Schizosaccharomyces pombe: one gene and its partners. Changing the gene in region 1 together with any one later gene gives a genetic interaction. Each region holds a gene or a part of one and is shown on either strand. Other genes may lie near its edges.

The links.
Region 2: mutations in svf1 (region 1) and gma12 together harm fitness more than expected from each alone (negative genetic interaction), as found in Schizosaccharomyces pombe (one large-scale study listed by BioGRID).
Region 3: mutations in svf1 (region 1) and iwr1 together harm fitness less than expected from each alone (positive genetic interaction), as found in Schizosaccharomyces pombe (one large-scale study listed by BioGRID).
Region 4: mutations in svf1 (region 1) and gcn20 together harm fitness more than expected from each alone (negative genetic interaction), as found in Schizosaccharomyces pombe (one large-scale study listed by BioGRID).

What each region holds. Positions count from the first base shown.
Region 1 is NC_003421.2:1,510,544-1,515,115, reverse strand, and holds svf1 (ER to Golgi ceramide transport protein, lipocalin superfamily Svf1), read left to right. Parts: upstream 1-1,794; 5' UTR 1,795-1,919; coding exon 1,920-1,942; exon of another isoform or gene 1,943-2,175; intron 2,176-2,413; coding exon 2,414-3,533; 3' UTR 3,534-4,072; downstream 4,073-4,572. Other genes in the region: protein mug42, read right to left, coding at 1-321. UniProt on the Schizosaccharomyces pombe protein: Ceramide-binding protein that may transfer ceramides from the endoplasmic reticulum membrane to the cis-Golgi network membrane, and is thereby required for the biosynthesis of complex sphingolipids.
Region 2 is NC_003421.2:315,314-319,628, reverse strand, and holds gma12 (Golgi alpha-1,2-galactosyltransferase Gma12), read left to right. Parts: upstream 1-1,776; coding exon 1,777-2,904; 3' UTR 2,905-3,802; downstream 3,803-4,315. Other genes in the region: msf1 (phenylalanyl-tRNA synthetase), read left to right, coding at 3,976-4,315. UniProt on the Schizosaccharomyces pombe protein: Involved in the O- and N-linked oligosaccharide modification of proteins transported through the Golgi stack. This occurs in cis Golgi where the enzyme transfers galactose from UDP-galactose to a variety of mannose based acceptors.
Region 3 is NC_003424.3:1,592,778-1,596,205, reverse strand, and holds iwr1 (RNA polymerase II nuclear import protein Iwr1), read left to right. Parts: upstream 1-1,666; 5' UTR 1,667-1,751; coding exon 1,752-1,812; intron 1,813-1,865; coding exon 1,866-1,934; intron 1,935-2,023; coding exon 2,024-2,336; intron 2,337-2,425; coding exon 2,426-2,816; 3' UTR 2,817-2,904; downstream 2,905-3,428. Other genes in the region: signal recognition particle receptor beta subunit Srp102, read right to left, coding at 280-795, 844-1,011; peptidase family curved DNA-binding protein Cdb4, read left to right, coding at 3,123-3,428. UniProt on the Schizosaccharomyces pombe protein: Directs RNA polymerase II nuclear import.
Region 4 is NC_003423.3:2,053,629-2,058,400, forward strand, and holds gcn20 (AAA family ATPase Gcn20), read right to left. Parts: upstream 2,815-4,772; 5' UTR 2,797-2,814; coding exon 586-2,796; 3' UTR 513-585; downstream 1-512. Other genes in the region: atp14 (F1-ATPase subunit H), read right to left, coding at 3,470-3,493, 3,540-3,730, 3,783-3,818, 3,867-3,912, 3,960-3,974; ort1 (carboxylic acid transporter), read right to left, coding at 4,635-4,772.

The DNA of each region.
Region 1 (4,572 bases):
AGTATATTTACGCGTCGATATCTGATTTCGTGGTCGCCTATACAAATGCAGCAAAGACACGAAAAAGAACAGAGGAAACTGAAAATTGGGCAAGCTGGTTATAAAATTAGTAACAAATATTAGGGGAAATTGTTTGTTTTTCGCATTGTGGTGGAGTAAAAACCGACAATCAACTTGGCCAACTAAATAAACTTGATCACTAGGTTTGAAAAAACATTTAATACCTTTACCGCATCTCCAATTCTTTTTCTTTACATGATTTTCCGTTTCATGGAGAGTTGGTCTTCTTCGTGGTGGAAAAGTACCTATTAAAATACCCATCCAAAAGTATACTATGTAAACAACTGTTTAGGTAACATGTACCTTAGCATTGGAAAAGGCAAAGCGAAAGAAGGAAATAAAGTGGAAGAATGCCAGTGTTTAGAGATGATGAAATAAAAGAGTTTACAGCTCTCGTTTTATCGACATTGACATGGTATTTTTGTATGGAAATGAGATGGTAAAAATACTCGTGTTGTTTGCTATATCCTACTTAGCAGTTCATTCTCTTTTCTTCTCTTCTCTGAAAAGCTATAACATAAATACTTCATCATTTTTTATTTTATTTGCAAAATACTTTTATTGGTTTTTCTCTCGATGTGCTATTTCCATGGAAATCACTTGGTCTTTTGCTTGTAAACAATAAATGAAACGTTGCGATTTACTAATTACAATTAAGTACTACGTTAACATAGTTTTCTTCTATATTATTATATTTATATCGTGTATCACTTTATACGTGTATATAGTTATATTATTTGACTTAGATAAAACAGCCGCATCTTCTTTGCCAGCTATCTAATCTCGTGCCGATGTAAATAAAACATCAATTTTCGTCTCGGGCAACATCACCATGGTCAACTTCAATATTTCGTGTACGGCAGGTAAATTTTCATGGGCGTCTGCACCCTACGAGGCAATTTCCAGCCCAACGGAAGCGTGTAGGATGAATGGGAGCTAATTCGTTAAGACAGTGCCATACCTGGATTCATTCAGGCTAAGGGTCTGATATTGAATGTGTAGATCCACAGAATGTGGGTCTCTTCAGCACTAATAAACAAGAGAATCGTGCTTTTCTGCGCAGATAATTACTCGTTTATCCATCTCTGTTTACACTCTCGCTATGTCACACGCCGATACCAAACGTCGTTGGAAAACGGAAAGCTTGATGTTTTTTACAAATCATTACTTAAACAAAGTGAAACTTACATAAATTCTTCGAACTTTCTTCTGTATACGTAAGGTGGAACAATGTTTAATTGTGATTTTCCATAGTTCCCCGGTATATGTCTAGCGTCGGCCTGCTACTATCTAGGCAGTTTTCCGAAATTAACATTTGTCCGCTCTGTAAATAAAATAAAGTATTCCGCTATATGCTTTAACATGTATGTTCTACACTTTAAAAATTTTCGTTATTAGATCATTATCGATCTTCAACCACCGAAAGCTTTATTCTCATACAACAAAACCTATGAAATAGTACACAATTATTTAATAAGGTATTTAATTTTTCTATGCGTAATAATGTTTAACAGAAATTATGTTCCACTACGACAACGGGAGCATACGGAATGATGAGGAACCCAAGACAATGCTAAAACCACCTTCTTATACGTTGTATCTCATAAAAGTATTATAGCGTTTTGCATTACGTCAATCACTAAACAATCATCATTCCATTTTTTTGGCTGCTTCGGTTCCGTAACGAATTGCACTAAGTGCTTTTGTTTTCCCAGCTCATCTTAGTTATCCTTTACCAACATTTTCTTTGTCCTATTTTTTAGGCCATTAACGTGTCCTCTCTCCGTTTGCTGGTCGCCTATCTTTTGCTTTGTGTGTTCCTAGCTTTTTCATTTTCTCATTTTTCATTTTAATTAATCATGAAGGCCTGGCTACAATCTAGGTAAGTACAACTGGACATTTGGATTCGATCGCTGCCGAGTGCTTTTTTCTTCGTTTCAGCGAGGATTTGTAATTCAAACGCAAAAGAATGGATTTATACAGTGATTTACAATGTGTATGTTCAATTTTTGGTACTCTTTGGCTTGATTAGAGGTTGTAAAAATATGGACCCCTAAAAACGGATCGAGTGTTTGTCCTATGAATAAAAACGGTAATATAATCGACTAATAATTGGATATCGATATGTATTCACTGACATTTCCTTCATGTTTTCGATTATTTTTTTTGTCTTAAAAATTTTTTTTTAAATTCGATGAGCAAAAAACAAAATTCTTTTTTCTTTTCCGTTTTTTTCATCTATCAGACATCTGCTATTTGAATCCATTTTTTTCGTGTTGTCTTACAAAACATTCAGTTGTCTATTCTAATAACTTGTTTTTACTGTTTTTTATTATTTCTAACTCGATTTTAGCATATCCTACTATACTGGCACAGCGGAACCCGTTTATGGTCCTGAGGCTATCCAACCCGTCACTGCATCCGTTCAGGGCATTAATCCTTTCCATAGGCTTGAAGCCGACGACTTCAAATGGAGCACTCCCTCTTCCAGCCATGTGGAAACGCAAGTCTTTTATATCAAGCCAAATGAGGGTGACTATATGTGCTTTGTTCAATTGATACATTCCAACTTGGGTTCTTGGACAACCACCGCTCAATCTACGTGTCGCATTTTCGATTTGAAGCATCCTGAAAACGATTTGTGGACTTCTACCAACATGGATCAATTTAGCTTTGAAAATGACAAAACCTCCTTTGTCGCCAAAAATTGCTCTGTCGTGTTGGAAGACCAAAAGCGTTACCGAATTCGTGCCTCCATCAACATGGACTCCATCATCGATATAACTGTCCATCAAGACGCTCCTCCTTTTAAAATCGGTGAAGATGGAAATTCTACTTATGGAACAGATCCTAGTAAGCCCTGGGCTTCCATGAAGCATACCTTTTGGCCTCGCACTCGTGTTGAAGGTAGCATCGTTGCAAGGGGTAGAGTTGTGGATGTCACTGGTCCCGGCATGTTTGTTCATGCACTCCAAAATGGCAAACCCCACCATCTTGCTTCATCTTGGGAGTTTGCCCTCTTGCAGCATAAAAAGTTTACCGCCATCATGATGCAGTTCAAGACACCCCCTAGCTATGGTTCTACTATTGTCAATATTGGTGGTATCGCTATGAAAGACAAAATTATTAGTGCAACTGTCGATAATACTATTGAGCACGTTGAGACCACACTCGATCCCGATACGGAATGGCATGAACCCACTCGCATTTCCTACGAATGGGACGGAAAGGATGCTGAAACATACACCGAAGATATTCATCTTTCAGTCGATGCTCCTTTGGGAAGACGTCTTCAACGCATCGACGTTCTTGCCGAGATACCATCTTGGCTTAAGGGTTTCGTCCATGGAGTCTCTGGAACGAAACCTTTCATCTACCAATATTTCTCACCTGTCAAATTTACACTGAAGATGGGTGACGAGGTTATTGAAGATGAAGCCACGCTTTTTAATGAGACTACTTTTATTTCATAAGCATCTTTTAACAAAAATATTCAAGCATAAATAATTCGATGCATTTTGGGCTTAAACAAAGAGTGAACGTGCATCCATCTTTTTTTCAGAGCTTTTCTATATTAAACTCTCTGGTTTTGTATTCTTTTTTTCCTTTTTTTTGTCCTGTTGTTTTTAATTTCGTGTCTTCGAATTTTTTTTTCATACTATTTTTCGTTTTATTAAAATAACTTCATATAGACTTATCACTTATACTCTGAACTTGATAGTTGTGCTGCTCTCATATTGAATATGATTCTTGTTAATGGTCTTGTGCTACAAGCTCTGAAATTCATTCGTTCTCTTGTTTGTGTACTAAATCGATCTTGTCATCCTAATACCTATACTGATGGACATGGGCAAGGCATCTGGCAAAATTGTGCATTCGCTTATGTTTATTGAAAGACTGCAGTCTGTGTAAACGAGCGAGAATGTTTTAAAATTTTTTAAAAATTTGAATACTTTTCATTTTAGAGACTTCAAATAATATTGTTTTCATCATTAAGTGGATACTAATTAGCAACTTCTCAACTTCTATTTTATTTAAAAAACTAATTCATTGTAAATGTTGTATTGGTTTTCTACGAAAGCAGTTTTTCTATTATTGATAATTTCGCTTTTACCACTTTATAATAAAAAAGTATTGTATGTTTAATGTTTTCTAATATTTTTTTAATAAGTTTTCCTATGTTCCGATAAGAGCAGGCAGTGAACGCGTAAACAGATATATATGTATGTATTTATTATTAAAATATTATGTAAATAATTCTTAAAAAACCGAATCATTCTAGCATAAAGCATTGGAAACCAGTAATTCAACGTAACTGAATTTCACGGATTTACAAGCAAGTCGTACAGTCCTTTCTTCATTCAATAATATTGATTTAATAATAATATGTATATGCAATTTTCCTTTTTTTTTTTTTTTTTTTTTTAAACATTTTAAAATAAAGCATAGGCGTTTAATCATTTTTTATTAAAGTGCGTAACTTATGTTGTAAAAAACTACCACCTACTTTTC
Region 2 (4,315 bases), 1.2 Mb from region 1:
TTCCACCCGGTCCGATAGTTGTAAAGGGGACAAATTTATTTTTGTCCGTTTACAAAAATAAAGAAGTAAAGCAGTGTAACTAAAGGGGAAAACATTGAGTTTTATGGTAAAAGATCCTATGTTCCATTAAACATCGAAAAAGGTTTGTTGGCTTTGAATTTGAATGAAGTTACATGCAGTTAAGTTAGCGAAACGATCGATTGGAAATTCCTAAACAATCGGTATGGTATGGGATGGGACTAAATAATTGGAGGAACTTGCTATAAGGTAATTAATAATATAAAGAAGCCGATAATATACAGTATGGTAATAGAAACAAAGCAATGAATCTTGCTCAGTCATTACTAGTTTGCTCTCTAGGGTTAAATTAGTTGGATCAGTAATTTTCAATCGAAACAAAAATATTTAAATAAATACGAATTATGCTTTACTTAGATTTATTATTGTTTTATTTTTATTTATTGCTCTTTTCATCTTTTTTAGAAGTTTTATTGTCTTTCATGTTTGGAATAGAATTTTTTCCCATTAAGCGGCAGTACTAAAAAAAAATTATTTCGATGTCTTTTAAAACCTGAATGATACTATTATATCTCTTTAAACTACTTTTATTTCTAGCACTTGCCATGTTGTTTTGTAATATTGGCTTTACCAGCCATTTGACTTTTTCTTTGTTTACACTAACATCACCGCACCAAAGCGTCAAGAATTTACTGCAGAATTTTACCAAAGAATGTAGAAACTAATTTTCTTTGGAAATTCGGGATTGCATCGATGCACAAGTCACTGACTTCTATAAATACAATTGTTTAGCAAGCTCCCTTTTTTTATTTTCAATAACAGGTAACACGTTTGGCAGGTAACAAGGAGACAATTAATCCATCACTCCAGAAACATATTAGCATTCCCCCCCGATTTAAACCTGGCCTTAACTTACCACCAATTTTTTTTTGCTTAAGGCAATTGGTTTTGTGTTTGTTAACATTCTAATTGTAAGACCTTGACGAAAAACTGGTTTTAAAGGATTTTTTACTGAGCTAATTTATTCGTTTATACGGGCTTTGTTCATTTCGCTTTTGGTAATCTCACTTTTTTTTGGTTTCCAGAGGCATTTTTAAATTTCAATACTTTTTCTTGAGTTTTTGATTTTTGCTTTCTTTTTAGTTTTGCGTTGACAAGTACTGAATTGTAATCTTTATCGTGGATTTAATTAGATTCAAGTGATTTTTAACACCTACATTGCCAAGTAGTATTAAAGTATTCATTTCATTGGTTTGGACTAGTTATATACTTCAAACTGGTGTTTACTTCCTTCTTTCGCTTCTTTTTCTTTCTAAACTTTGCTATATTTTGCCTTCGTTCGTTAGGTTACTATTTATTTACAAATTGAACCTTTTCATATAGGTTCTCTACAGGGATTTTCTTACCATTACTTATTGTAACAGATTTCTTAGTTGAGAGAATATTTTCACTTGGGGGGGTTTTTTTTCTTTTTAATTCACCACACGTATCTAGGTTTTCTACATTCTCTTGGATACAATCTCTTTTATTGCACAGAATCTTCTTTGATTTTCGTCTAATATTCCTACTGTCGGTTCTTTTACCCTTCCTGTTTCTACTTTTTAAAAGCTCTCATATATCACTCATCACCATCCTTTCTCTAATTTTATCTTTCGTTCACTGCTTAATTTTGCATTTCTAAGGAAATTCTCCGTTCCTTTATCATTTTATTTTATTTTGTCTCTTCTATATTATTAGTTTACTCTTGATTATTTGACAATGCGGTTCGCTCCTTATTTAATTAGTGCTGTTGTAATTACAACCATAATCCTGGGTGGAGCTTGGTGGACTTCAGCTATGGATACCAAGCTTCAAACGAAGATGAAGGAGATCATCGACCAACACACGAGTACTTGGACCCCAGTCGTTTCCTCCGTAACCAGTACCCAAACTGATACTTTACGTGTTACCATTAGTGAAGTTGTTAGTGTTACTGCCACTTTAACCGAAACTTTCACTGCTACTCCAACTGTCACTTCTGTAGTTCATGCTTTAGCTACCACTGATCCTCATCCGGATAACTCTAAAATCGTCATTTTGATGGGCTCTAACTTTCAAAATGATGCTAACTCTCCTCTCCATCCTTTCGCTCAGTCCATTATCAAAAATCGTCGTGAATATGCTGAACGCCATGGTTACAAATTCGAATTCTTAGATGCCGATGCCTATGCTTCTCGTGTTACAGGTCATTTAATGCCCTGGGTTAAGGTCCCTATGCTTCAAGATACGATGAAGAAATATCCTGACGCTGAATGGATTTGGTGGCTTGATCATGACGCGTTGGTCATGAACAAAGATCTTAACGTCGTCGACCATGTGCTTAAGCACGACCGATTGAATACCATTTTAACTAGGGAGGCTGAATATAAGAGTGGTGCAGGTATCCCCGCCGATGGATTTAGAACTCCAAAGGATCAGGATGCTAAGGATGTTCATTTCATCATCTCTCAAGATTTTAATGGTATTAACGCTGGCAGTCTTTTTATTCGTAATAGCGAAGTTGGCCGCTGGATTGTTGATTTGTGGTTTGAACCCTTATATTTGGATCATATTCAGGGATATGCTGAGCAACAAGCGTTTTCTCACATGGTATTTTACCATCCCCAGGTGTATAAACATGTAGGTGTTGTCCCACTTAAGGCTATAAACGCATATGATTTTGATGATAATATTTGGGGCTATGACGACGGGGACTTGTGTATCCATTTTGCTGGATGTAACTATTTTAAGAATTGTCCCGAGAAGTTCCTTAAGTATGCTCAAATTTTATCTTCTAAACAAGGATCCGATTGGATGTCTGCTCAAGAAAAGGATCATATTCAAAATCTTTTGAAACCATCATCCTAGTTTTTTTCAGTCACGCATGGAAAAATACCTTGTACTTTAGACTGGTTTAATTTCATGATATTTGTCATTTTACTCAAGAACAACGTCTGTCCAGTATGTTGGTAGTTTTCTCAATTTTTTATTATCGGGGATAAGCAAACTCCTTCTTTCATTACTAATCAAGTCATTTAATTATCCTCCCCTCCTTAGTGAACACCTTAATAGTTTCTCCCTTTTCATGATTTCATGAGCTTAGTATCATTACGTTCAGGACCTTCTAATTTCGTGTTGGAGGATTTTAGTGTTGTCTAATCTATTTCCTTTTCTAAAGTCAAGTTTTGTATCGTACTTTAAGTACAAAGTTCGAGTTTTGCTGTTACGCTTCAAACCGTTTTATTTAATTTTTAAACCCCAGCCTTTCTTGGAGTAAAATGTTAGTAGATGACAAACTTGTTAGGGGTTTGAATGAATTTTCATACGCAGAATGCTGCTTTCTTTAAAATCGGGATGATTTGAAATGTTATTTGAAATGTTGAGTTTTTTGTAGCCTACATTACGATTGTACGGCTTATAGGACAGTGAAGCTATTAAATACTTGATCTAATATGACCGATTACAAGAAAGTCCTTGATAATTTTTCTGCACTTCTTTTGAAGTTGGCAACTTTATGTACAGTATGATGCTCTATCTTTCTAAATAAAGTTATGTCAGGAGTCTTATGGAAATAAAATTTGCAATTCGTCGTAATGAAATCCATTTGAGTGATAATGGCTTTTGAAATTAAAGCATATATTTTTTTTATGCAAAAACAATGAATGAAATATTTGTAAACTGACCAAATCTATAAACCACTGCTTGAAAATTAAACGATTCGAATTTTACTCCTTTGTTCATTGTATCCAAGAACGGCACAACCCCTATATTTGGGTACTATCATTTTTTTACTTTCAAATGGGACGCAATTAAGACCGATTGATTGAATTCTATTAAATTATTATTATATATTAATTTTAAAAATAGTTAGCTTCGTTGTTCTAATTTAAATTATCATTGTTTGATTACAAAAAGTGAAGTGTGTTATTTAAGAAATCAATGTTCCCTCATCGAGTCTCTCATTTATCGAAACTATTTTCGAGAAGGTTTCCCAATTGGAAAAGAAAAGTCCAAACAGATTCTTGGTCCAATGTCCCAGAGCATATTCACTCAAAAATTGGTCGAAACCTTTTTCAAAAAGAAGGTCATCCCATATGCAGTCTACGACAACTTCTCGAACAGCAATTTCAAAAATTCGAAATGAATAATGTTCAAAAAGAATCACCTATTGTTTCTGTAGAGACGAATTTTGATTCTTTAGGATTTCCCAAGACACATGTAAGTAGAAGCAAATCCGATACTTACTATATGAACAATAAAACTTGTCTTCGAACCCATA
Region 3 (3,428 bases), on another chromosome or scaffold:
TATGTGAGGCTTTGATACAACCTTGGATTGTTCTTTTCTTGATATTCTTATACTAATATTAATGTTTCTCTTGTTTTTTTTTACCCAAGCTGTCCCTAAGTACAAGTACTTTACGAATCAGTTTGTCAACAACCCTGTTAATTTTTTTAAGTATTTTACAGTATTCACACAAGATTACGAATTTTTGAAATAAAACGATAGCTTATTCTAGACATGCAAAAATATATCTTTTTTGGTTGGTTACTTGTAAATTATCAATTGTGAATAATTAATGCATCTTTATTGTAAAGCTGATTCCATCCATGAAATCCATTCTTCAATGTTCGACATTTTTGCAACGCTGCCAGGAAGGAATTTAAGATCAGTATCTTCAATCTGATCTGCAACTGATTCCCAATCGACATCTTCAGAGACTATAGATTCGAGTTGAAGATTTTTCTCTTCCAAAATATTGTGCAGTTCAGCTTTTAACAATTGTTGAATTTTTTCCGCAGGTTGAGCAGTAAAAAGATCAAATTTATTACAGGCAATTAATAGATGAGGGACATGATGCTTGCGACATTTTAAAATTGTGTCAAACAACATCAATCCAACCTCGTGCACATCCCTGTCAATTGTAGCACTGTTGAGAACGAAAACTACAGCTTTTACATTATAATTTCCAGAGAATTTAGTAGTAATCCAACGTTTGGCCCTGGGATGCCCTGGAAGATCTACTAACCAAGCACCATATTTCCACACAGCTTCATTAGGTTCAATGCTAGGAACTGTAGTTTTCTTTTCTTTATAAATTAGCTATATAACAGTTAATAAGTATTCAAAGATTGTATATTATTGTTATACCTCACAAAACAAAGACGTTTTTCCAGAATCGCTAGGTCCAATTAAAAACACTGCTGGTAACTTCTTTTGAATTGTCTTTCTAGTAAAAAAAATTCCTAGGGTAGATATAATAGCTCCTATAATTATTGTAGCTACAATAATTTTAAAAGCTTGAGAAGTTCCATCCATATGCTGTTGTTGGTACCAGTTGGGTGTGTAGAAGATATATGTCAAATGTTACAAAGACCTCATTTTCATACGATCGTTGATTAAGATATATTTTTCAGAAGAGAGAAATAAATGTGAAAAAAAAAAAAAAAAAAAAAAGCATCCAAACTAGTTCTCGAAGTTTTGTTTAAAAAAGACAATTCTCGTACAGATTGCAGCAGTAGAGATTGACTGTACCCTCTTTTGAATTTAATTAAAACAATACAAAATACATTTTTCCTGAATGTATTACATGAGATAATTGCTTGATTAGACCAATCTTTGTTAATCGTCAAAGTATACATTTATATCATCGGTTCTTTTGAGTGGAATTAATTGTTGTGGGGCATCTTTAAGTTGTGAATTTGTGTAATTAGACTTATTGAATATTTTTGCTTCATTGTTTGCTCAACATTATTTATTATAGAAAAGTTCTTTTTGTTAAGTGATGACAATGATATAAATAATGAACTTCACGATTTTTTATTTTAAAATAATAAAACTATAGAATATTTTACATTTTGAAAGATAAGATTGCGTTGTTGTAATACTACTTCAATCCAAGTTATACTGAAGTTGCTGTCTTTCAGTCGAAGAGCTACTTTTATATCTACCTTTTTTACATTGCAGACTTGCCATCCCCCAACCGTAGATTTTGCTGGTTATATTAATTCCTTTTTTAAAGAGTCGTCTAACTCTCGTTATTAAATTGTGATACGAAGATGCCTCTTCCAGTACTTCGAGTTAAGCGTAAAGCTTCAGAAGATCCTGTTAACGCCCTATGTACGACCAAGCTTCTAAGTAAACTTTCTTTATCTAACTCCTTAATAATTTAGATTTGGAACTTGGAAACAATCCAAATTCTGTTTCAAGTACGAAAAGAAGGAAATTCGCCGGACGATATTGTATGCTACTTCTTGAGCTTTTGTGTTGGAATATTACACAAGGACTAATCATTTGAAAAACACAATTACCTTTTATTGACAGTTTCTAGATTTTAAACTATCACAAACGCTGAAGCAAGATGATCGGTATATTCAGATAAATGATGAATCTTCGGAACCCACTCATGAAGACGTTCGAAATATCCACAGTCATACAAAAATATCATCTCTAAAAAAGAACAATTACGGAATCCCTGTCGTCCAAACTTCTGAAGACGTTGTGAAAGCACCTACGCACATGGACTTGGGATCCCGTGAAAATACAAAAGGTATTCTTTCTTTCTCATCCCCACGCTATACAATTCAGAATTTACCTTCTACTCAAAGTAATAGAGTGTTCGACGCTATCCGTGTCGAACAAGGGTATGTCAACATCAAATAGAGTCAATTACTTAGTTCTGTTGTTATAAGAACTGGCTCTTGGCTTTTTTTACCTTAACTAACATTCATAGACATACTACGTATCATCCGCATCCTCAGCTAGATTCTATGATTCAAGAATATTTGTCAAATGGAGACCTTCCTCTTCAGCAATCTACGGAAGACTACGTATACGATATTTATGAAGCATCTAGCAAAGAACCAAACAAGCCAACGTTTGCTTATGGTGTAATTGATGCTTTGTCCATCCCAGACGCTTTTCGTTCTTCATTAGAACAGGAACTAGTCTCCGAGACAGTGGACTCTGATAAAGATGATCCATTACATGATGAAATTGATGAGGATTCAAACGCTGAAAGCTTCTATCAAAATAGCTATCCCGATGAAGACGAATGGCAAGATAGCAGTGAAAATGATGAATTTGCTTACTCCGATGATGCTGAGCAAGACTTTTATGATTAGATGTTTGCTACTTAAAAAAACGAACAAAATGGAAATCGGTTACAGTTTAATAGGTGAATGATATTATTTGGAGAAATTTATATCAGGAATTTAGTAAATTGTTCTATTGTATTTTTTAAAAACTCATACATTATATTGTGTCTGGGTAATATGTGTAAATTTTAATAGCATTACTATTTAGTTATATCATAGGATTCAATATGAGCCATGTTATTCATGAGTTTGGAGTCCACAATTTTGTGACTTGCAAAATCCTAGCACCAAGTTCTTGAATTTGTAGCCAGATTTAGCTACATCATAGACAATATGTCGACTAAAGAAGCAACTTCAGAGACTGCTGTCGATTATTCTTTGAGTAATCCTGAAACCGTCAATAAATATAAAATTGCAGGCGAAGTTTCTCAAAATGTTATTAAAAAAGTGGTAGAATTATGCCAACCTGGAGCCAAAATATACGATATTTGCGTTCGTGGTGATGAACTATTGAACGAAGCTATCAAGAAAGTATATCGTACCAAGGATGCTTATAAAGGTATTGCTTTCCCTACCGCTGTATCTCCTAATGATATGGCTGCTCATTTATCTCCTTTAAAAAGTGATCCCGAAGCCAAT
Region 4 (4,772 bases), on another chromosome or scaffold:
TTAACCTCTAATACCTATCCGTCCATTCCTCTTCCTCCAAAGTCTTTCACCTCTCAGAATTTTAAATCGTTCAACGCCGTCAAAACTCAACCTTCATCTTCCTCCTCTCCATCAATCTCTCGCCCTACGTCTTTTCCCATGTCCTTTTTTCCAAATCCTTCGAGGTTTTCTAGTCAAGTTCCTAAACGAATTTAATGAGTTAACTTTTTCCTTTCTCTTTCTTTTTTTGTTTACTAGTCTGTATATTCTTTTTTTTTCTGCTATTGATTTCCTTGGTCCGCCTTATTTTCTCCTCTTCTCCCCTTCCTCCTCTTTACTTTTTAATTGATTGGGTTTGTTCTCTTTATTTTTTGGGTGTTGGTTGATGATTTGCATGCTTTCCAGGTTTCTTGTCCATTACCGTGTTATGACTTACTTAGCTATAATTAATTTACTGTTTTAATCTTATTTAACACTTCATGTCTTTTACTGTATAAAATGTAGTTAACTTCGTTTACATATTTTATCCAGATTCATAGATAAAAGAATTTGATTTTATTTATCCTCGCCAGCTATATTATTATTATTTAAGTCTATGCTATTCCATTAAGTTTTTATAGTCATGGTTGGCTGTTGAGATAGACAGAATTTCTTATATTGTGAAATTGTTCCATCAAACTTGGAGACGACATTATGGTCACACTGCCAAATACTGGTACATGTCTTGTCCAAGAAATCAACATCGTGAGAAACAAGAATCACACCACCTTGGAAGCGTTTAACAGCTCTTGTCAAGGCATCCATGGACTCCATATCCAGATGGTTGGTGGGTTCATCTAGAATAAGAATGTGAGGGTTTTGTAGACCTAGGCATGCGAACGCAACACGAGATTTCTGACCACCAGAAAGCGTGATCATTTTTTGCAATGCAAGAGGTCCACTAACACCAAAAGCGCCAAGATGACGACGGTATTCTTCTTCACCTTTGCCAGGAAATGTCTTAGCTAAAAAGCTTAAGGCATTCAAGTTTAAGTCCAAAGTATCGACATGATGTTGTGCAAAGTATGCAATACGAAGTCGGGGGTGCCGACTAACTATACCAGATGTTGGATGAAGTTGTTCGATAAGAAGCTTAAGCATTGTTGATTTACCAGCACCGTTGGGACCAACCACACCGATACGAGAATCCATTTGAACATCAATATCAACATGTTTGAGAATAGGGTGACCTGGAACATACTCAAAATTGACATCAGACATTTGTAAGATAGGAGGAGATATTTTTTCCACAGGTGGAAATTCAAACTCAACTTCTTCCTCAGTTTGAGGCTTTTCAAGGATCGGCAGTTTTTCCAACTTCTTAATACGACTTTGTGCTTCGGATGATTTGGCAGCATTATAACGAAATTTGTCAATGAATGATTGCAAATGTTTGCGGTATTCCATTTGCTTTTCATATTCACGAAGTTGATTTTTGCAACGTTCTTCACGAGTAGCATAGAATTGACTAAAATTACCCTTATAGTAATCCAAGCGCTCAGAGTGTTGATGAATAATATCAGTAGCAACTTCATTCAAGAAAGAACGATCGTGTGAAACGACTAAAACGATATTTTTATAAGTTTGTAAATATTCAGATAAGAAAGCAATTGAGGGAACGTCAAGCATGTTCGAAGGTTCATCCAAAAGTAGTAAATCTGGTTGACAAAACAGAGCACGTGCCAATGACAAACGCATACGCCAACCACCTGAAAAAGTCTTGGTAGCATGGCTTTGCATTTCTTGAGTAAATCCAAGACCAGCTAAAATAGTAGCAGCGCGTGATTCTGCTCTATCAGAGTCCATCTCGGAAAGCTTATTTTGAATATCTAACAACCGTAAATCAAGTTCGTCTCGTTCACGCTCAAGGCGACGGGAAATAGCTTGATCAGCAGTTTGGTCTTTACTAAGTTCTTCCAATTCTTTTTCAATCGTTGATAGACGATTAGTTATCTTTTCCTGGTCCTGAATCAAATACTTGCGCCAAACATCGGCATCCAAAACTGACTGTAGGGCAGGTGTATCATCACCTGTCATTTCTTGCTCAACATGAAGAATGGTAATATGGGTAGGAATCGCAATTTCACGGCGAGAAAGAGCACGTAGAAGAGTAGATTTACCGATACCGTTGCGACCAGTTAAACCGTATCGTCTACCCTGTGCAAGTGTCAACGAAGCACCAGTCAATATACGATGACCAGCAAAAGCAAGATCAATTCCATCAATTTTAATATCTTTCGATTTTCCTTGGTTACTTCCGGATAAATCTAGAGGATTTACAGCCATGTAAAACTCTTCATAAGACTTTTGTTCGGGTTGAACCAACTTTGAAGATTCGTATTCTGCTTTGATAGTACGTTTCTCCCATTTGGCACGAATCTTCCGTTCAGCCTTCTCTAATTTTCTTCTATCTACCCTAGATTCAACCTTACGGCCCTTTACAGCATCTAATTCCATCTTTTCGCCAACCAAACCCATAGTTGACGAAATTTCGGATTGGGAATCCATTCGAATAGTCTCCTTCAAACGAACAAGTCCATTCGTTTGTAATGTATCTAGATGTTCCTCTCTTTCTTTAAATTGTTTCTCTAGTTCGTTTTGTATGAGCTGTACCGCTTCCTCACGAGCGCCAGCATCTAGCAATAAATTACGAATGAGAGAGATCGTATGGTCTGAAGCCTCATCTACATCTTTAATAGCATCATTAGCATATCCAGTGCAGTAGCTGAGGACATGAGGGTCTACTTCAGAGCAATTATTCTGAATGACTTGCTCCATGTTGGATGTGAGGTGGATAGTACTAAGCAAGTTATACTACTGCTATATATGAAGCCTCAATCGGCAAAACGATGAGACTAGGCATGAAAATATACTAAATACCTTATAATAGTGAATTATATATTTTTTTAAGAAAAAAAATTACAATTCCAAGAAAACTACTGTGAACTTTACTGATATTTTTAATGACCCACAGTAGACATCAAATTTTATCAAGCTAATCCTTATTGTTGAATAAAAGCAATTGTATTGAGTTGATATAAATTGAAAAAAAAAATCCAAATGTGAACTCAATAGAAATACTTTGCAAAGAGAAAAACATCTCAACTCAATGAAAGTGGTTTTCTATCAATCAAGGCAACAACTGTTTCGTGCCGTAATCGAAGAGACGACTAAGCATTGAATTCAGCTATGTTCAAAGACATTTAGAAAGCAGAAAAAGGATACGTTAACCTAGAATATAAATCATAGTGAGACGGGAGTTATAGAGATACATCCACGTTCGTGGTCAATCAAAAGAAGGATCAGACAAAGGCATGAAATAGATATAAAATCAAATCTCAACGACGTAGATGAAAATGTAAATTCATAATCGGAAAATAAAAGGCAAAATTTAATCAAAGTTAATTACCAAACATCTTCCAATTGAGCATAGGAAAAGCAGTGAATAAATTTAATGTTCTTTTTCATTCTCATACTGAAGGAAAAGTTAGCTGATGCAATGTAAAGGAAGAGATACATACTGATTCAAGAAAGTCAAATTTGTTGCTTTCTCCAGCAGCCTTAGTGGGAATGGTTTCTCCCTCATACTTGTAAGAGTTTAAAGCAGAAGTAAAGTCAACATCGTATTTTGGAGCAGTAGGAGCGCTAGGCATGGACCATTCCTTTACTTCAGCTGCCGTTTCGGAAGGGACAGCTTTAGGCTTATATGATTCTAAGACACGACGTGTAAGAAATTGGTAAATTAAGAGAATATAATAACATACTTAAAGAAGAAATATATAAACCCTGTACTACATCGACTAAATTGCCATTAGTAATCTCATCAAAATCAAAATGTCATTTCATACCGTAAAGACGAGGGGAGGTGGTCGAATAACTACGACTTAGTGATTTCTATATATTAGCTCCTAAATTCTTAAAAAAAGCAATGTATAACGTACCAAAATTCGAGACATTGTTCTTCCTTCACAATATATGTGGATGGTAGTGGTAACTCACTTAGGTAGCATGTATTGAGTAAGAAAGCCAGCATTGTCCGAAAGTACATTAAACATACTAAATCTAATAGCTAAAGTTTTAAATGCCCAAATAAACAATCGCTGAAATAGAAGGACTATTAGTCTCAAAAATTTCATCCAATTTACACCTCTACCAAAAATCTACAAAACAAAATTCAACTATACAAGAAAAAAAAGCGTAGGTACATACAGATATTGAAAGAGTTGGATTAACCAAAACAGGACGTAAAAAGCAAAACAAAACAAAAAAAAACAGGGAAAAGAGGAAAAGAAAATATACTTTCAGATTGAAACGGTTAACTCGTGAAATGTATAACAAGTTCAGTGGAATTACTGTCAAACTAACAGCAGCACATGATATGAAAAGTGATGAGAGGGGAGTTTTTGAAGGTAAAAATGCTTTTAATAAAAAATAAATAGCATCAAAAAAATTGTAAAAGTATTCCATGGGACTTTAAATATATACGACAAAACCAGTTCTAAAATGTGATTAAACTTCAACCGCAAGTCGAATGCAAGTTAAAATATGTATAGAAATGCATTCCGACGGGTTATCGACTCAATGGACAACAAAGACTTCGTAAAACTAGAATAAAACTATTTGCTTAATACTTTAGTTTCCCGAAATAATTCAAAAAGCGTAAAATTGCAAGAATTTATAAGAGCGCTTCGCATCAATGAAATACCTATACCTCGATATATAGTAAACGATAACCAAGGAATGGAAGACAAAGG